Nothobranchius furzeri: one gene and its partners. The protein of the gene in region 2 interacts with the protein of the main gene of each other region in a biochemical or structural test. Links are inferred from orthologs where the notes say so. Each region holds a gene or a part of one and is shown on either strand. Other genes may lie near its edges.

What was found.
Region 1: the proteins of cebpa (region 2) and trib1 form a complex in vitro, tested with the Homo sapiens proteins (2 studies listed by BioGRID and IntAct, with this or other methods). The link is inferred for Nothobranchius furzeri from reciprocal best matches to the Homo sapiens genes CEBPA and TRIB1.
Region 3: the proteins of cebpa (region 2) and cdk2 form a complex in vitro, tested with the Homo sapiens proteins (2 studies listed by BioGRID, with this or other methods). The link is inferred for Nothobranchius furzeri from reciprocal best matches to the Homo sapiens genes CEBPA and CDK2.

Annotation. Positions count from the first base shown.
Region 1 is NC_091759.1:11,616-15,817, forward strand, and holds the start of trib1 (tribbles homolog 1), read right to left. Parts: upstream 2,801-4,202; 5' UTR 2,219-2,800; coding exon 1,907-2,218; intron 566-1,906; coding exon 273-565; intron 1-272. UniProt on the Homo sapiens protein: Adapter protein involved in protein degradation by interacting with COP1 ubiquitin ligase. The COP1-binding motif is masked by autoinhibitory interactions with the protein kinase domain.
Region 2 is NC_091749.1:66,139,114-66,143,207, reverse strand, and holds cebpa (CCAAT/enhancer-binding protein alpha), read right to left. Parts: upstream 2,801-4,094; 5' UTR 2,402-2,800; coding exon 1,529-2,401; 3' UTR 439-1,528; downstream 1-438. UniProt on the Homo sapiens protein: Transcription factor that coordinates proliferation arrest and the differentiation of myeloid progenitors, adipocytes, hepatocytes, and cells of the lung and the placenta.
Region 3 is NC_091743.1:49,088,353-49,092,585, reverse strand, and holds the start of cdk2 (cyclin-dependent kinase 2), read left to right. Parts: upstream 1-1,433; 5' UTR 1,434-1,575; coding exon 1,576-1,691; intron 1,692-4,233. UniProt on the Homo sapiens protein: Serine/threonine-protein kinase involved in the control of the cell cycle; essential for meiosis, but dispensable for mitosis. Phosphorylates CABLES1, CTNNB1, CDK2AP2, ERCC6, NBN, USP37, p53/TP53, NPM1, CDK7, RB1, BRCA2, MYC, NPAT, EZH2.

The sequences.
Region 1 (4,202 bases), on a different chromosome or scaffold from region 2:
GCTCAGAAAAGAAAGAAAAGTTGAAATCAAATCTTAGTGTTTTTTCGTCCATGGAACATCTTTCAGGATGTAGTGACATCTAGTGGTAAATTTGCAGATTGCAGCCAACTTTGTCCCAAAGGTCGAACTTCTTTCGACGTGAAATTCAAGCTGAATTTTTGTGTGTGATCATTTAAAAACCTAAAAGTCATCTTCTGTGCTTTCTGCTGGTTGAATCAACATAAAAGCACAACGGTTCTCGCCTCCATAAAGAAAACATCAGATCGGCTCACCTTTTCTCATCTGCAAAGACAAACTTGCGCAGTTTGAGGTCACCCAGCACGATTCCCTTCTGGTGGCAGTGCGCCACAGCCTGAGCCACCTGGCGGAAGAGCCTGCAGGCGTGTCCCTCATCCAGCCGGCGACAGCTCTTCACCAAGGTGTGCATGTCCCCAAAGTCTTTGTCCAGGAAGATGTAGGCCTTGCGTTCACCAAGGATGATGTCCCGGATGCCAGCCACGTTTCTGTGAGCTGGTAGAAGCCCGTAGGCTCTGATCTTCTCCAGGTAGGCTGCCATGTCAAAGACCTAGCGGAGAGATCAGAGAGGAGGAAGGGGAGGTGTAGGGATGCAGAGTGGAAACATGAAGGAAGGAGGCAATAAGAGTCAGTCTTCCTATCATAGGAGGTAACAAGTGGGCAAATATAAATATATATTACATGTATGATTTTCAACGGCTGCTTTTTGCAAAAGTGTTTTGTTAAATGATTGAATTCATAATCAAAAAGGCCTCCAGGGATTTTGTTTTCATGCAAACCTAAACAGAATCTGGAGTATGGGGCACCAATTAGAAAATGTGACTGTTGGAATTCTGGCTTGTGAAAAGGAATTAACCTAAAAAAAAGTGGGTTTAGGAGTGATATGTGAAACAAAGTTTATAGGATTTACAGAAAGCAACAATTGTTTAAACAAAATTCTGCAGGTGTATATGAATTTGAGCACTGTTGTTGTATTTGATTCTAAATATTTAGATTTTTACATGAATATAAATATTTTGATTAGATTGTTGCTAATTAGATGGAACTTTATGTACTAAATGTAATTGTATTCTAAATGTTTGATTTGATTACTTATTTAGATTGGATTATAAATGTTTTGGTTAGAAACTTCAATGTTTAGAAGTAACTTTTCATATTCATTTTTGATTCTAAATATTTTGAATTCATTGCTTAAATTTTAGATTTTTATAATAAATATTTAGATTTTTGTCTTAAATATTTAGACATAACTTATATTTAGACAGGATTCTAAATATTCAGAATTGATTTCTTAATATTTAGATTTCATTGTAAATATTTAGAATTTAGCCTTAAAAATATAATGTTTCGATTTGATTGTAAATATTTTGCATTAATTGCTTAATATTTAGATTTTTATTCTAAATATTTAGATTTAGATATTCATATTTAATCGTGAATACTTATGACGGTCACCATTACTTGAAGCTAAATCAGGCTGGGATTTTTTTAATGCATTACGTCACCTGATGCCTCATACTGGTGCAGATATGAGTTTTTATCTGGATAGATTCTAATCTTGCATTATTATTATTCTGCTGAACATGTTGCATTTTACTGTCACGGCTTGGCAGTGACGTGTATGCAAATGAGCCGAGTTGAGAGACAGTGTGAATGCTGAGCATGGGAGACTGTTTCCACAACATGCAGAAAGGCGACGGCTGGTCTTGATTGCGTATTTAAAAGACTTCTGGTTATAAGGGGGGAAGCATTAAGAAACATTATTACGCAAAGGGAGCGTGAGGATGACATTTTGCTGAAAAGGTGAGCTAAATACGGATAGCGTGTCAGACGGACTGTTGAGCAACATCATTCATTCAAAGAAATTGCACAATGACCTGATTGCGCATACCTTGCACAGCAGCTCATCGCCAGTATCGGTGTTCATCGCACTGTGCATGCTCTCCCGGTCCGCGAGCGGCAGCAGGAGGAACGGACCTATCCTGGACGGTCCCTGGTGGTGGGGAGCCGGGTTGGCCGCGGGGTTGAGCGGGGACCCGGGTGACGTACCCAGGAGTCCCTGCGCGTCCCCCGCCTCAGCGCTCAGCCGGGCGCACTTGGCCGGCGGCTGGTCGTCCGAGTCCAGCCGCTTGTGCGCGACTCTCCGGGTGCAGGGTGCAGGACTGCTCCACGGCAAGTTCATCCTGAACGACCGGCTCGCCATGAAGATAAAATGATATAGATGTGAATAAAATCAAGCAAAAAGATGCGTCCCTTGGTGGTTAGAACCCACTCCGTCTCATAGCTGGCACAAATCAAACTTTACGCGTTGGCTGATAATCCAGACCGCGTCCTTCTTCTTCCTTTTGAGGTTTGGATCAGAAAAAAAATCCACAATCAAGGAGGGAAAAAAAAGAAAAGAGAGAGAGGGAGAGAAAGAGAAAGCGGGGGAGAGGAGGGGAGACCGCCTCACACTCAGAGAGAGGCTGAGAGTGAGAAGCTCCGGTGATGAGCTCTGAAACACTCCGCCCGACCAGTCCAGCCTCCTGATGACACAAGCGTTGAGCAATCCTGTAGCGGCACCGACTCCAGCTCACTGTGCGCGTGTCTGGTGACGCTAGATTTTACCTTTCAGAGAAATCAGGATGTTGAGAGTCTCAACATTCCTGCACTGAGCTCTGCGATTCCGCTGATACATAAACAAGAACGTGAACGCACCACCGGGAATGAGACCCGCCTCTCACACCTCATCACGTTTCAGACGATCATTAACAAACTCGGAATTTTCTGATCTTCAGCTCATGTTGCCATTTATCACCAGTTAGAGCAGCAAACAGGAGAACTTGTCTTCCTCTTGTGATTAGAATAAAAAGCTCCTGAAGAAGATGAATGTCATCTCACTTTCAACAGGGGTGCCCCTAAGTCAGGTCAGAGGGGGGCACCCCCCCCCCACTGCCCACCCCCAAATTGCCGTTAATTGATTAAAGATTGATTTTTAAATATTTTTTTGTGGAAAATTAAATTAAAAATGAGGAAATGAGCTTCGGTGAGGTGCAGCGTTCACAGTCGCTGGTCATTTCCTTAAGAACACTTGATGAACTGCTTGCTAACACAAATAGCTAAGCAGTCATCTTATCTTAATAATGTTTTAGATAAGTTCCAATCAGGCTTTCGTAAGATGCACTGTTCCACTGAAACAGCTCTGTTAAAGGTATCTAATGATGTACTGACTCTGGCCCATGTACTGTACTGGTTTTATTGGATTTGTCTTCAGCTTTTGACACGGTTGACCATAAAATTCTGTTACATCGACTACACAATGTCCTAGGAATTTCTGGTACGGTTCTGAAGTGGTTTTCTTCCTATTTAAATAACAGAACATTCTCTGTATGTGTAAACAAGATTAGGTCTGAAGTCACATTTTTGCTTCACGGTGTTCCCCAGGGCTCGGTCCTTGGCCCAGTTTTGTTCCTTTTATATATTTGCCCTCTTGGGGAGATTATTAAAAGCTTTACTAAAGTGTCCTACCATTTATATGCAGATGGCATTCAACTGTACTGCTCTTTCAAGGACACAGAGTTTAACAAGTTAGCTGATCTACTTGATTGCATTGAGCATATTAAGGACTAGCCAGTAACTGTCTTCAGTTGAACTCAAGCAAGACCGAAACACTGATCATTGCTCCTGAACAGAAAGTGCTTTTAATCAAACACCTCGGTTCCCTGAGCTCCTCAGTCCAGACCAGTCTCAGAAACCTTGGTGTTCTTCTTGACCAATCCATGTCTTTGAGCTGCCACTCAAAACGTTTAGTAAAAAACTGCTTTTTATCATTTGCGAAACATTTCCAAATTGAGAGCTTTTACTTCAAAATCGGACTTGGAGATGATTATCCATGCTTTTATTTCTTCTCGTTTATATTATTGTAATTCTATCTTTACTTGTTTTAACAAATCAGATGTCAGTCGTCTCCAGTTGGTCCAGAACGCTGCAGAAAGGCTTTTAACAGGAACCAATAGAAGGGCTCACATAACACCGGTTTTATATTCTTTACATTGGCTACCGGTCAAGTTTAGAATTGATTTAAAAATTTATATGCGGATGACATTCAATTTAGTTCTGACTTTTAGAGCTCTTAATGGACAAGCTCCACAATATTTGTCAGACCTTTTAATCCCTCACTCTTCTGGCCGCACTTACGGTCCTCGAGT
Region 2 (4,094 bases):
GCTCCTTTGTTCGTCTTGTTGTTGAAACTTTTCTGTGTGCCGCTGCTGGAAGCTGAATTTTCCAGAGGAACCTTCCTGAGGGATTATTGAAGTTCCTTCGGAACATCTGAGGGAGTTCCGATTTTACGACATGATGGCAGGTCGCCTGCAGCAGAGTCATGACACAAACAGAACCTTAAAGCACAAACTGAGGGAATAATAATCATTTAAATACACAGGAAACAGAAGCTGGAACCAGTAGATCAGCTGTCTGACGCCTCATTAAGCAGCTGGTTTTAGAGTAAAAATGAATATCTTTGACTTAGTGTGTGTGTGTGTGTGTGTGTGTGTGTGTGTGTGTGTGTGTGTGTGTGTGTGTGTGTGTGTGTGTGTGTGTGTGTGTGTGTGTGTGTGTGTGCACATAGAGCCGAACACTCTCAGAAGAACACCAGAACCAAATTTGATAAAACAAGTTTCTTTATTACTTCAGATTTTGGTTTTTCATTTATATTTTATGTTTATATTACAGAAATAAACAACAAAGTGCTTCTTTCTTCCTCCCTGGAACAAGTCAGAGAACCATCTGAGGGATCGGACAAAGGTCAAAGGTCATCTGAGCGATCAAAAGGCACTGAGTGAAGATGACTGCAACAAGCAGGAAGATGAAGAGTGATGCTGAAACCTGGTTCACATTTAGCTGTTCTGATCACAATAAAACATGTTTAGAGGGGCGTAGTTCTGTTGGGTTCTGTCCAGAACCTGTATCAGTACACCCCCTCCCCATGATCAGTACCATCACTGCCTCCCCATGTCCCACAATGTATCTGGCTTTAGTGCATGAGAGCTTCAGTCTGAACAGGGTCAGGGTTGGGCTTGCAGGGCTTTGGCGGTTCTGTTTGTAACGGTTTCAGTACCGAACAACCCTCAGCCTGGCTTTGCTAGGGTCATTCAGAACTAGTTTTATTAAACATGGGTTCTGGCTCTGACCCAAACTCCCCAGACAGTTTATCTCTGGCAAGTGTGAAGGTGAGTTTGATACCACGTGGTGTCAACAGCCAATCACCTGCAAAACACAGTTCAGCCAAGCAAACAGCTCAGAAACAGGTTTCGGTCCGGTTTGGTTCCGTACATGAGATCGTTTGTGATTAAATAAAATTCTGTAATGAAGGCGTCGTGCACGCAGGCTGGTCCCGCACTAACCTCATCGTAGCTGCACTGAAATGTTCTGAGTGGTTCTGGACTCAGTCTGTTTAAGGCACTGAACATCTGATTCAGCTTATCGGCTTTTGCACAAACGTTAAAGGCACGAGAACACGACAAACAAATAAACAAACAAACAAGTTAAAAGTCTCCAACGGGTTCAGTTTGTTGATGGAAGAGTTCCGTTCTGCTGCTCTGAAGATTAAAATCATCCGGAACCGAACCGGGTCTGTTAAGTTTTCTGCTCCTTGACCCAAAAGTTCTGCATATGTGCAGCTGTTTTGAGAACTCAGCTGCTTCTGTCTCTAAACAAATCCAGCACTCTCCGGTCCAGTCCGATTCAGATCTCTCAGCTGCCCATGGGTTTGAACGACCCGTCCGGCAGCTGTCTGAAAATGCCCCGTAACGTGTCCAGCTCCCGGGTCAGGTGCTCCACCCTCCGCCTGAGCCGCTCGTTGTCGGTCGTCAGCTCCACCACCTTCTGCTGGGTCTCCAGGTTCCGCATCTTGGCCTTGTCCCGAGACTTACGCACAGCCACGTTGTTGCGCTCGCGCCTCAGCCGGTACTCCGGACTGCTCTTATCCACGTGTTTCTTAGATTTCCCGCCTCCCCGCTGCTCGAGCAGCTTCATGCCGCCCTGCTGCAGGTGCTGGTGCGTGTGGTGATGGTGCGGGCTCGGCACTGGAGTCGGTGGAGGCGTCGGGTGGCCCGGCTGGAGGTGCATGGTGGTCTGCGCGCAGTGCGCAATCTGGTACTGCAGGTGCGGCATCTGCGGCTGCTGCTGCTGCTGGTACTGCTGAGGATGCGCGTGCGGGTGGTGGTAGGAAGGGGGCATGCCCGGGTTCAGGTCCTCGTCATCCCGGGGCTCCTGCTTTATGGCCACCGGTCGGAGGCGCGGCGGGTTGTGCTCGTAGAACGGCTCCAGCTTGGACTCCATGTAGTTAGGCATGTAGAGCTGCTGTGGACCCGGACCGCAGTCATACTCTCCATTCATCATCTTGACTTTGTCCTGTCGCGAGTTGTGGTGGAACAGGTCCGCCAGGAAGTCGTCGTTGAAGGCAGACGGATCGATGTAGGCGCTCAGGTCTATGGAGGTCTCGTTGTCTCCGATCTCCCCCCCGAGGTCAGACGGGTCTCTATAGCCGGAGGGGGGCTGCTGGCCGTGGGGCAGACTGCTCAGCAGGGGCCGGGGCGCGACCTCGTACAGGTTCGAGAGCTCCATGGAGAACCTAAAGCCGGGCGGGCATGGCGAGGAGCTCCGGAAATCCAGTTTGGAAAGTCACACACTCAGGTGAGTCGGACCGCTGCGGACAGGAGCCGACCGGAACCAGAGTCTTTAGGACTGACTGACACTTTGTGTTGGAACGAAGAGAAGCTGCCGGTCCGATTCCTGGTCCTCAGTAACCTCCGAGCTGTCAAACAGCGGTTTTATAGTTGGAATGGGTGGGCGGGGACAACACCACACTCCTTCAGTCTGTCTGACTCGAACCCCTCCGGGACCCGGGTGGGACAACAGAACCCTGCAGGTTCTCGGAACCGATCATGATCCCAAGTGTTGTTTAAGGAGTTTGGGTCTCGCTCCTAGACTAAAGGTTCTGATCACCTGATGCGGATCGTCTCCCGAACTGCACCACCCCATCGGAACCAAAACGCTTGACTGATGTTTCGTTTACTTAAAAAAAGGTAAATTAACCAGAATTAAATTAGAATAAAACTTTTGTTTGTTTCACAAAAGAGTCCTGTGTGTGCGCACGCATGTTTTTATGCGCGTAAGTAAATGCCTGCCATACCTCTGTGTATGTGCGCGCGTTCACACACACACAAACACACACACACACGCGCGCGCGCGCGCGCGCGTGTGTGTGTGCGTGTAAAATGCGGGATGCAGCGCCCTCTGTCGGACGCAGACAGACACCGTCTGGTCTGATGTTGGTTCTGGTTCGTTTCAGACCGTATAGAACCGAGCAGAGATCCAGAACATCTCGCACCATCTTGGAGACCTTTGAAGGACCTTTTCTCCTTCAAAAACAACCGCTGGATCCTGTGTTCATGACAGAGATGCTGTTAGCTCTGTTCTGCTAGCATAGCTGGTGGTCTCCATGGTAACGCTGTTGGCTACATTAGCATAACTCCTGTTAGCATAAATAAGGGTCGGTTAAAATGCCATTTCCTCGTCATAAAGATAGTGTGTTTGTTTTAATGAGTATCATTTTAGTACAACATGTAAAATTAGAAATTAGCCCAAATAGTTGTAATAAGTCTATTATTTCGTTGTAAATAAAGAGTGATATTTTAACCACATAGTCCCCATCTGATTGTCTCCCTGAGAGGACATGTGTCTCTGTCTCACTGACATCCGAGACACATATAAAGACTTGTCTTACTATAAACACATCACAATCATAGAACCACAGAACCCATCAGAACTATCTCTGAACATTTGTGATATGGGTTCCTGGGATCAATCTTTAGGCTCTGCAGAATCTGAACTGGTCCTATAGCTTTATCTGAACCTGAACGTGAACATCTGACGCACTCCTCAGGAGATGTATTGAGATGTGAGGAATCCCCCACTGAGACAGAATCTCTGGGTCTGGTTAATCCAGGAACATGGTCCAATAAAAAACCATATGAAATCTTTTAAGTACCTAAAACCTGAGAAGATCCAATCTGATCATGGTTGTTTGTTTTTGTACAGGCATAAAGAGCTGGTGAAACCAGAACTGGTCCAGTTCCAGCATCATTCAGCTTCACATCTCCAGCTGTGACCCTTAAGCAACTGGTTCTTTTTTGATTGTTGATTAAGATGAAGTCAAAAGTTGCAGCAAATAGAAGCTGTAGAGAGTCCAGAGGAGGTTTCAAGATATAACTGCCACTCTCATGAAGCCTCTTCTCATCCTAGAGCTGCATATCTC
Region 3 (4,233 bases), on a different chromosome or scaffold from region 2:
TCGCTCTGCAGTAAAAAAAAAATACAGCATTCACTACTGGGTTGGAGAGCGCATTTTCAGAGTGGCAGATTAAATTTACAAACGCTATATTAATTGGGGGTGTTTCTGAAAATGTGCTCTGCAGTTAGAAAATTAGAATGCTGCTTTTTTTTTCCTAATTGCACAAGAGCGCATTTTCAGAGCAGATAAAATTTACAAACGCATCCAATTAATATAGTGTTCGTAAATTTCATCTGCTGCTCGAAAAATACGCTGTTAGAAAAAAAAGCTGCATTGAATGCTGTTTTTCTTTCTTTCCTTTCTTTTTTTTTTTTTTTTTTTTTACTACGGAACGCTTCCCACAGATAATTAGAATGCTGAGCCTTCTATCACGCTAAAACATCATGAAAGGTTAAAGAAAAAAAGTCGGCCTCGGGCTCGGGTTGGGCCAGAGAATCCTGAAAACTTTTTCGGACTGGTTTGGGCTGGGGCTCCACCCCCTCGGGCCGGGCGGACACGGGCTCAGATTTTAGGCCTGTGCAGGGCTGTAGTCCCAATTCTTTGCCCCCCCCCCCCCCCCCCCCCCCCCCCCCAATAATTGTTTACATTCTCCAACCACAACTAAAACTACAATGAAGACAGTTTAGGTGGAAAACAAAGTCATTTAAATTATTGATAAATTAAGATACAATAATGCTTTTAGTTATTTTAGAGTGCATCTGGCCCGTCTACTGTAAAAACCTCAGGACCAAACTTGGTTGAGGACTCCTGTTCTAAGGTAAAGAAATTAATTAAATGTTTAAAAAACTAACAATGGCAACTTTAAACTTATATGATGGTAGGCTAAAATGGAATTAATGTTTGTGAAATTAGATCTAATTGACAAGAAAATAATTTTATAAACACATTTTTTACAAACAAAAGCACTCCACATCCCTCTAAGATGACGTCAGGGTACGTCATCCATTTTGATCATGTGACCAGTGAGGGCTGCTCATTTAGTGTCTCCGTCTCATCCCAACTTCTGGTGATTTCTAACAACACGTTAAATTTAACAAACACCAGAAGTACTTTTGTGAACATTTTTATCTAATCTAAAGCGTTGGATTCATTCATAGCGGTCCCCTGTGAGAACACTGCAAGATAAGCAATAAAATAAAGAGTACAGTGCCACCCATTCGAAATAATCGGTGTATCATGAAGTCAAAAACGAACGCTCCTCTTACAACGCGGGAAACGCCGCTGTGTTGGTTCAGTTTTGTGGACTGAGCTGCGACCGTCGCGCTCCCCTTTTGAATTAATCCACATAATTACTATCGAGGCTGGGCACACATGCCCATATACCTGTTTTTGTGTTGTCGTTTGATCTGAGAGCGTTTCATCTTCTACACGAACCCCCTATCTCCCGCTCGGCTGTTTCCGGACTGGCCGAAGGGAGCCGGGGCGGCGGTTAGTGTCGGTTTGTCCCCGCGTTGCTCCTTAACATCGCCCCTCTGTAGCCACCGAGCCGCTGTCGCTGCTGCTGCTAGCGCGCACACAAAGAGACCAGTATTGCTAAGCAGCTAAACTTTAAACAGTCCCGCTCTTGTAAGCAAAATGGACTCATTTCAGAAAGTGGAGAAGATAGGAGAAGGGACGTATGGAGTGGTGTACAAAGCCAAGAATAAAGTGACCGGAGAAACTGTTGCTCTGAAGAAAATCCGCCTGGACACGTAAGTTAAGAGGCAGGAGTTATCTCCAGAGCTAACGCCGCGCTAAAAACATCCACTAATGCTTCAGATTTTTTTTTTATCCACGACCTCGTGGCTGGTGATCGTCTGCCCACTTCCTGCAACAACAGAAATAAGCGTTTCTCGTTAAACTGTAATTATTCAGTGCCTAATATAACCTCCACACAGGACTAAGTGACGTAGCATCCTTGGATATAACCCTGTAGGTTAGCTGGATATGTTTGTTTATGTTTATGCTTATGTGCTTAGCAGACGCTTTTACCCAAAGCGACTTACAATTTTTTGCAAGTCGCTTTGGGTAAAAGCGTCTGAGCAAGTGAAATATGTAACTATTTAAGGGAATTTTTCATTGTCTTGTGTTTTAGTCTACGATCAGATGTTACTAGTGAGTGATCAGAAGTAGTTTTCTGACTCTACATTGAATGCTATTCTGTTTCATTCCTTTGGTTGATTTATTAGTTGAATGGACATGTTTTATAGTTTTGCTGCTGTAGGAGGGTACCTTTCAGTATCTCAAGCTGTCAAACTACCAACATACCCAAACTTCAGCACTCTGAAAAAAGCATTTGGATCCTTATCGATGTCTTCCAACACAAATACCAGAGATGATCAAAGTAAAAACAGAAAGCAGTTTTCAAATGATGATTTAATTTATTTATTAAGGAAACAAACAACCAATCAACACCCTTAGCTGCATAAACATCCATCAAGCATCTGTGAGAACTAATAACAAGGCTTACATTGCTGTGAAGGATTCCTAGACCACATTTTTTTGACATTGTTTTATTCCAGCCAAACGAGTGGGTTGACATGTTTGAAGTCATGGTTCCATCAATTACAGTAAGTGGTCAAGGTCCTGAAGCAGCCCCAGACCATCACTCTGCCACCACCGTGTCTGACTGTTGGTATATTGATGTGTTTCTGAAGTTAGTTTTTCACCAAAATAGTCTCACCACTCCAGAGAATATTTTCAAAAAAGTCTCAAAGATGCTGTTGACTGAAAAACCATTTTAAATATGTTTTTCCTGATTATGGTTACTGAGTTTTTCATGCAGACTGAACATGAAAATAGTCTCCCACACCTTTCTCCTGCATTAGCTTCTGATAGAAAATAGACGGTGAAACTAGAATTAGAAAAGCCTGACAGATCTACGTCACACTGAATAACATTCATGGACTCACCCATCTTGGGTGTTGTTGGATTAGTGTCCAGTAAATTTTTTGTTCTAGTGTCCAGGAAACAGCAGAGAACTTCTCAGCTAATTCAAGCTAACCTTTAGCATTAGCAATGCCACCACACAGCCGAAGTTCCTCCAGCCTTGTGTTATTTGTGGAGATAAAATGTCTATGTTGCAAATCAGTGGTCGAGTTGCATTGCTGTTGTCCGATCCGGAGTGAGATGTCCAAATATCAGGAAAAAGACTCCAAATCCTGCCATCAGAAGGTCTGCTGTGATGTGGGCAAATTTTAGGTCAGAAGAATGGTGCACTGGGATATTTCTTCCCCCTGCAAACAACTTACTCGTCATTTATTAGTACTAGAGACTACTACAAAAATGCATTGATTAAACAAGTGTTCCACTTTCTAAAATATCATCAAGATGCTCTTTGGAGACGGTGAGATGGGTCTTTGTGTGGTCACCAGAGATGTTTTACGGAACTGTCCCATAGAGGCTTTTTTGTCTCATCTCTTTCTTATTGTTGAATTTGACCTTAAACTAGCAAAGGCACCATCTGCTGCTGTGTGGGATCATTTAGCGTACTCGATAGCCATGTTTCCACTATTGAAGTTCCAGGAAAACACAATGGATCAGTGTTTTCAGCCGTTGTGTCTGTACAAAATCAGCCTTTTCAGGACTTTGCAAATACGTCAGCATATCATCAGCATGTTTGCAATGAGTGACGTCACTGATCAGCGCGTCCATAGACAATTAAAACATTTTAAAAGTGTAAGAATATAGTAAGAATTTTACAGTGAGAAAGTCCCAAAAGAGTCTAATGTTTCAGTCATTTTGGAAGAAAGGTTACACTGAAACATATTTCATATCCAGCTGGTTGTGGGGATTGCCACTTTTTCTCCATTCAAAACAAAAGGAGGGTCGTAACTACTGTTTACCATCAGTGAGTGAGGGGGTGCCATATCTACTGCAAGCTAATACCGCAGCGCCGACAGTTGTAATTTGACAACTGCCGGCAAAAAGCACAGGATAAAATTTTGACTTCATTTCTACATAATGCACCTTTAAAATTTTTATTCCGTCAAAGTACGCCATAATTTAATCCGTTCGAGGTTAGGGTTGCAGGGATTAACCGGTTTGACTGTTAACCTCGGTTAACTCCCCGTACAGACGTATCCAACACCATCTATAAAAACAATAAAAAGACAATATGGCGTGAGCCGTTAGGACGAAAACAAAAGCGAAAATGAACGCGAGCATGCAGCAGAAGCAGTGACAACAACCATCGGGACCATTTGGGATATGAGGAGAGCAGCTGCGTGACATGAAAAGCATTTTGCGTTTTAC